Linked DNA regions of Bombyx mori. The protein of the gene in region 1 interacts with the protein of each later gene in a pairwise test. Links are inferred from orthologs where the notes say so. Each region holds a gene or a part of one and is shown on either strand. Other genes may lie near its edges.

What was found.
Region 2: the proteins of carbohydrate-responsive element-binding protein (region 1) and max-like protein X interact in binary tests that used the Caenorhabditis elegans proteins (3 or more experiments, as listed by UniProt). The link is inferred for Bombyx mori from reciprocal best matches to the Caenorhabditis elegans genes mml-1 and mxl-2.

What each region holds. Positions count from the first base shown.
Region 1 is NC_085116.1:9,455,092-9,458,755, reverse strand, and holds part of carbohydrate-responsive element-binding protein, read left to right. Parts: intron 1-249; coding exon 250-442; intron 443-1,269; coding exon 1,270-1,391; intron 1,392-3,664. UniProt on the Caenorhabditis elegans protein: Transcription factor that binds to the E box motif 5'-CACGTG-3', probably in a heterodimeric complex with mxl-2.
Region 2 is NC_085115.1:6,335,874-6,339,597, forward strand, and holds the start of max-like protein X, read right to left. Parts: upstream 2,949-3,724; 5' UTR 2,200-2,948; coding exon 2,124-2,199; intron 1,991-2,123; coding exon 1,914-1,990; intron 1,521-1,913; coding exon 1,410-1,520; intron 324-1,409; coding exon 126-323; intron 1-125. UniProt on the Caenorhabditis elegans protein: Transcription factor. Binds to the E box motif 5'-CACGTG-3', probably in a heterodimeric complex with mml-1.

The DNA.
Region 1 (3,664 bases):
TTTAAAGGCAAACATCATTCTGATAAAATTTAGATTATTTAGTCTGGTACGGAGTGCGTGCGATAATAAAATGTGTTATCTATCATTATCTTGGGGCATGACTACAAGACCTCGTTTATATTGGCCAACAGATGTCTGGAAATGAAGAAATTAAATTCTCGCACGCGCGATGAATCAACGGCATACGTTCGAAAAGTTTGAATCGAAACGGTAAGTAAGTGAACATGCAGTAAAGTGAAACGTTTGCAGGCTCGCGAGCCGTTACCGGGTGCGATACGCATGCGGTCCCGCTCGACGTCGGGCGGTAGCGGCGGCGTGCAGTCAGAGGGGGGCGGGCCCCCGCCGCGCCGCGCGCACCCACCGCCGCTCAGCACCGCCGCCTCCGAGCCCACGCTGCCCCACGCTAGCGTTATGCTCGCGCACCTCCTCTCCGCCCGACACTGTCAGTCGTTTTGCTATTTCTGCATTCTACTGTGCGTTTCAAATTATAGCGGGATTGTCAGTCCAACCTTCCATTACTGTGTACATTGCGCGTTCCATTACTGTGTACATTGCGCGTTCCATTACTGTGTACATTGCGCCTTCCATTACTGTGTACATTGCGCCTTCTATTAATGTGTACATTGCGCCTTCCCTCGCCGAACCAGTCGCTTGCGACGAAGGGCTCGACGAGTAAATTAACCCATAGATACGGCCCACTGAGTTTCTCGCCGGATCTTCTCAGGGGTTTGGTTTCCGATCCGGTGGTAAATTCTGCGAAGCACTACTCTTGCTATGGCCAGTGTTAGCAACACTCCCGGTTAGAGCTCCGATAGCTCACCTACTCGCCCGGTTATGCTGACCTAGCCTCAAGGCTACCAGCTTAGGTAGGGAAAAAAAGCGGGCCAGTAAAGTCAGTTTTGGGTCTAATTTTACACCGACTGTTCGATTCATGTTAACAAACTTTGATTGAAATGTAACTGGCAGTCTCGATCGTCCTTAAAAATTATATAACAATCGGAATATTTCGATATTTTTCTAAAATCCTAAGTTCACTACCCAGAATACTTTCGTAAACAAAAAACAAGTTTACTTCTATCATTACATCACTCGTTATTCTTCAGTACGCACGTAGAACTATGGAAGCTGGTCAATGTAGCTTTATGACAATCTTCGTCGTGTTTGAAACACATGGTGTCCACGTCTGTTACATAATTTAAAACTAATTCATGTATGTTTTGTTTCATGTACTAGATTACTTTATTCATTCGGCCTACCGTTTTATTTCAGCTCAAAGTTTATACAAACTTAATAGTAATGAAGATGTTGCCGGGAGCTCCGATCCCACCAAGTCCCCGATTAGAAGGGGACAACCGTCTCCGATCGGTAGTGACGTCATGTCGCCCCTTCCAGTAAGTCACATTGAAATTTGTTTGGGGATCTAAGTAAAATGGTTGACTCGCAATGAATAATTACGGCTTATGTGAAGATAACATAAACGCGCGCCCGACTTGTCGAAGAAAGATAAATATAGACTAAAGGTTAAGCAGTAGAATAAATAATCTTAGGATAATAAAATGACCGTTGCACTGGAGTTATAAATAGTTATTGTTTTTAATTATTATTTCATAAAAATAATACTTTACATGCTTAAGCCGCATGATCATTGGTTAATTAATGCCACTCAATCATGCTAACTAAAATTACAGCCGGCAATAGAAAACTAAGCTGAAATATTTTCTTGATCATTAATTACTTACTGGTGGTAGGACCTCTTGTGAGCCCGCGCGGGTAGGTACCACCACCCTGCCTATTTATGCCGTGAAGCAGTAATGCGTTTCGGTTTGAAGGGCGGGGCAGCCGCTGTAACTTTACTTGAGACTTTAGAACTTATATCTCAAGGTGGGTGGCGCATTTACGTTGTAGATGTCTTTGGGATCCAGTAACCACTTAATACCAGGTGGGCTGTGAGCTCGTCCACCCAACTAAGCAAAAAAATAAATAAAAAAAATTCTAATTCTAATCACAAAATTCGTTTTCGCCTTTGCATGCGTTCCCTAATTTTTGAGACTTAAAGATTTATTGAATTAATGAACACTTGTGTCGACATATTTTTCGGTTTTTTTTTTTCCTGTACTTAGGTTCATTATCTTTATATTCATAACTACTTATTATCTAAGTGAAAACGATAAAAAAAAACTTTAAGGCATAACACGTATTTATTATCTATACAATTTATTTGGATGAATACTCTGTGGTTTACTCTTTAGCTGCAAATTAATCAAATCTTCACGGTGTAAACCACTTTATTTATTACTAGCTTTTGCCCGCGACTCCGTCCGCGTGGAATAGTTACTTTGGCATAACGCCAAATTTTACCCCCCACTTCATTTACGTAGAAAGTGAAAATATTTGGAAACATTCTTTATTGGTGCTCCACTTGTGTTGGTCTTACCGTAATGTTATATACCCTATAGCCTTCCTCGATAAATGGGCTGTTTAAAACTGAAAGAATTTTTCAAATCGGACCAGCAGTTCCTGAGATTAGCGCGTTCAAAAAAACAAACTCTTCAGCTTTATAATATTAGTATAGATATGCATGCATGATCTGCGTTAGGCATGCGAGAGAGGTTAGACATGTTACATGGTATAACCTCTTACACCGGTCACTCACATGCGCACGAATACGCAAACCCGCAAGTGTAGGACGACATTTGCAAATGATTATGCAAAGTTTTCGCTACATTCGTGGTTTTCCAAGCTGTGTCGGTTTTTTAACAGACATCAAAGCGCGCGAACCGTGAACCTTCGCGTAGTCTCCCACACATTCGTTTGCCCAGTTGCGCCGACGATTGCGAATTTAATGTACGTATCGCCATTTTCATAGTTCGTGACGTCTACCGTGTGGCGTATCTTCATCAAAAGAAATCCCATAACAACGTTAATGATGTCTGGGAAAGAATTCAAAACTCTTTTTCTCTTCAATGTTCTATTGACGAATTAAAAAGGAGAAGAAATTCGTGAGACATTCGTAAACAAGTGTAAGAGGAAGCGCAAACGGGTTCGCAAATTGAGTATGCGAACCCATTTGCACAGCCGCTAGGTTTGCGAATGAATGTTTGACGGCTCTTCATGTACACGTACAATGTACGAATGTTTGCGCGCATGTCAGTGGCCGGCATTAGGCTACCCGCCAATAGGTAGGGGGGAAAGACGTTGTTTTTGTTGTAATTTTCATTTTTCATTGTATCAGTATATTGTTGTATCGTGTATGAAACTAACGACTATGTTTGCATGTTTTGTACAATGGTCAACTAATCACGCCCTCAATATTGTGATATTCTGGTCCAATATATTATATTTATGTTTACGGCATTTGCGACACAGGATCATCATCAACAATCATAGTTTGTGAATGTTAAATGTGCAACGTTGTACATTTTTTAAATCCGTTTACATAAAAAGCGTAGGCAGCGGCTTGGCTCTGCCCCTGGCATTGCTGAAGTCCATGGGCGACGGTAACCACTCACCATCAGGTGGGCCGTATGCTCGTCTGCCTACAAGGGCAATAAAAAAAAATTTTTGAAAAAAAAGTGGAAATTTAGACCTTCGATTGCATTAAGCTGTATTAAAAATAATCTTGCAAGTAGTTACTACGCGTGTGTTGGCCTCGTTTTTTATTTAT
Region 2 (3,724 bases), on another chromosome or scaffold:
CAAAGAATATCTATAACAAATATAAAGTCTATTGGACAGGTAGATTCAGAGATCTCATCATCTCAATAAAATTAAATGACTTATAGTCTCACGGGTTTTCTTAAAAAAGTTATATACATACATACCACTTGAAATTTGTCTTGGTCCGTCAGCCTTTGCTCATTCAGACCAGGTACGGAATGTTGAGCTTTAACAATTTGTTCATAATTTGCTTGCATTATACGAAGAGCGACAACATCTTTACGCAATGCATTGCGCTCTTCTTCCTGTCTACGACGCTGTTGTAACAAATACTGGATGTAGTCAATTGATTTCTGAAGGACCTGCAAGTTAGGTTAACTTATTAAGAAGTGTAAGCTTTTTTTTTTCCAGAGTTTAAAATTATAGACAGGATAGTAATAGTTACATGTAATAATCAAAAGAAGCAAATATTAAAAAAATATGGTTTGTATGTTACTTGAACAATGCTGATATTTTATAATTTGGTTTATCTGATTGAGGAAGGATGATTTTTTACACACACAGTTACAATGGTGTTGCCCAATTTCACTGAGTAATACATCAATGGTGCATGCAGGCTTTTTTTTTTTTTTATAGTTAGTTAATAGTTCAAAAACTGTTTAACTGTAATATGTTTACATTTAACAAGCTATCTATTTTATTTACTTTGTCTGTTTATTAATTTAAGTGATTACAGCAGTTTTTGTACAAGCATTTAGGTAAAAATCAGTCTCAATTGATAATCCAGCCCAAAATAAATAAAATAACTAAAAACAGAACAAATTAAAGTGAACAAGCACTTTTAAGGTTTATTGATTAATTGATATTATGGACCATATGGTGTTATGAAGAATCTGGAGCTTGAGTCATAAGGTTTAAGTCTCAATTGCTTAGTATAACAGCTTTTCTACCTTTCAAACTAGACTGCTCTGTTATGGAAAAACGGCAGGAACGGCAGTTAATGAGAGTAGGTGTTCGTACTACGCTGGTTTAATAGATACTCGGAGAAAATATACAACAAATAGGCAAATACCACACAGCCAGAGTTTGAATAACAGGTTAAAAAGCTTGTATACCAATATTATCCTTTCTAAAAATTTACTTCAATTATAACCTTTAAGCTACGTTTAAGGTTAAGACACAATTATTAATGAAGTTAGAATGCTGCCACCCATTGTGAGATAGAAGTTTCTAATTATTTTTTAAGATAATCTGGGATAGCTATGATCACATTATATAATAATAAATATTTGCGCAGCAGTCCTCAACTATAATAAATATCATTATTTGTGATAACACAGCCCTAACATATCTGAATGATAAAGTCTACAAGGTTGTTCAAATTTCATAAAATTGATAACCTCTTATTTACACATTTAACAATTAATTTGATAAGAAACTTAACATACTGCAGCTTTGCTTGGTTTGTAGCCAGACGCATCACTCTGCTGACAAGTAGGCACAAGGTCTTGGAGTGAATCATAGCCTTTCTTAATTGCATCTCTTCTTTTCTGCTCTGCCTGAAAAATGTAAAAGTTAGATAAAGACTATTATAAAACCAGTATTTTAAATTAAAATAAAACTATCAGTTCTTGTTCTTTGAGTGCCCAAAATGCACCCACAGGAAGAAGTACTCCTGATACCTAATAGTTAATAACAATTATGTATTAACATAGAGAGAATATGAAAATAGCCCAAAGAAAATATATAGGAAAGTCTACTGAGTATATTAAGCCAATTCTTTTTTTTTGTTTAGTGATAGTGTTTACTTTCACATTCAACAAGTGTGCATTGCTACAAAAACTATCATTTCCATTTAGTAAAAGATTAATAATCTGTATTATAAATTCAGTAGTCCATTTAATTTTTGTTAAATCATCTCTTAATAGCAGTGATTAGGTGATATTACTAACCTGTGTGTGAGCTTCCCTTCTTCTCTCTTTGAAACTGAGTGCAGATGCCTTGTTGTCACCACTGTCATCTTCATCCTCTATACAAAATAATAACATTCACAGTAGGTACAAATATATTTCATCCATTTGTTATCAATGAGTGCGAAACGAAAATACAAATATGTCGCTTAAACAAAAATATGTAAAACAAGTTTTAGAAAAAGTCATTACCTGTGTTTTGATTTGAGGAGGACGGCGTTTGATGTATGTTTTGAATAGATCCGCTACTGCCACAACGAGGATACATATTGGGATATTAATTGTTATAATGAAACTTTAATAAAATAAAACATTACATTAATGCGATCTTTCACTTTTCGGAGTTCATGGTGCCTTGTTCCATTATTTCTATGTAGGGTATGAAGAATACATTGATAACATTATAAATATAAGATAGTCTTGGACAAGTACTTCATGACCCGAATTAAATCACTTTTGAACCATGTGGTTACGTAACATTTACGTAACGTAATACTAAAATCAAATTTCAAATTACTGATAACTAAAATACAGTATTATTTCCGACTTTTGGTACAATTACGTACATAAGTACCTACATAGGTAGGTACGAGAATTACGTTTAAAATTATTTTTTTAAGGGATTTTATGACCTGGTAACTAAGACCTTTAGGTCATGTCTTACTTTACTTTATATTCTTATTTTTATGAAAAATGATAATATGGAGTGAAATGAAATTAAGATGATTAATTTGAGACGTTAATCAACTGGGATGAAATGAAATAAAATAAGATGATATGGGTTGAAATATAATCTCAGTAAAATGGTGGTCATTTACTGAGATTTTTTCAGTGGACATTTTGGAGGATCTCGAGAAGTTGCGTCCGGCGGCTTTGTTTCGTTTTCCCACATTTGTGCACTTTCATAGATATTGAACAGTTAATAAACCACCGTTATTACACATTTAAATCTTAAGAAACACTAAATAGACAAAATGAATCAAATCACACAACTTCACTCCTCGCATTCCCGCCAAAAAGTCAACGTTTAAAATATTTATGTCACAGCACAGATGACTGTCAACGTCAACATTTTCTTTTTTCAATATGGCAATCGACTGCTCATGATGCCAGTTCTGCAAGCAACAGAAAATACACATATGAGTAATTTTAATTTAATCAAGCTTATAAAATCTTCAAAATTATGCATAAATTAATGTTGTAGTAGTGCTAGTTATATTTATTTATTTATTATTATATATTATAAAGGGTGTCCTAGAAAGGGCTTAAAAAGCCAAAAGTTCTAGGCAGTGTTTCTCAAAAATTAACATGTGATATCAGTTTATTAAATAAACACATACTGACGACAGTCACAACATACAGAGTTCTTACGAGTTAAATTTCGTCTTACATCTTTTTTATTGAATTAGTAGAATCTAACTCCAATCGAAGTTACTGGCGTGCTTAGCGTGCGTGTTGAATGATGGGCACTAATTCTTGTTTCAAACAGGATAGGAGGCCCAGGATTTGTCCTTCATATGTCAAAGCTGTTTATTCACATAATAATATCAAAGAATGAGTTCCGCTGCGATAACAACATAGCATCAGATGAGCCGAATGTTTATCAAATAACGTACAAGAGTAAAATAAGTATAGTATAAAGAAAAAAATTAGTAATATTCACCATATTATGTATGAAAGCCGTGGTGTTGTATTTTTAAAATGTTGCAAATTGTTGCATTTTAAAGGAATCTACATTTATTTATATATGAATTCACTTTTCGGCTGTTAAATATTAGAAAATTTGCTAATCT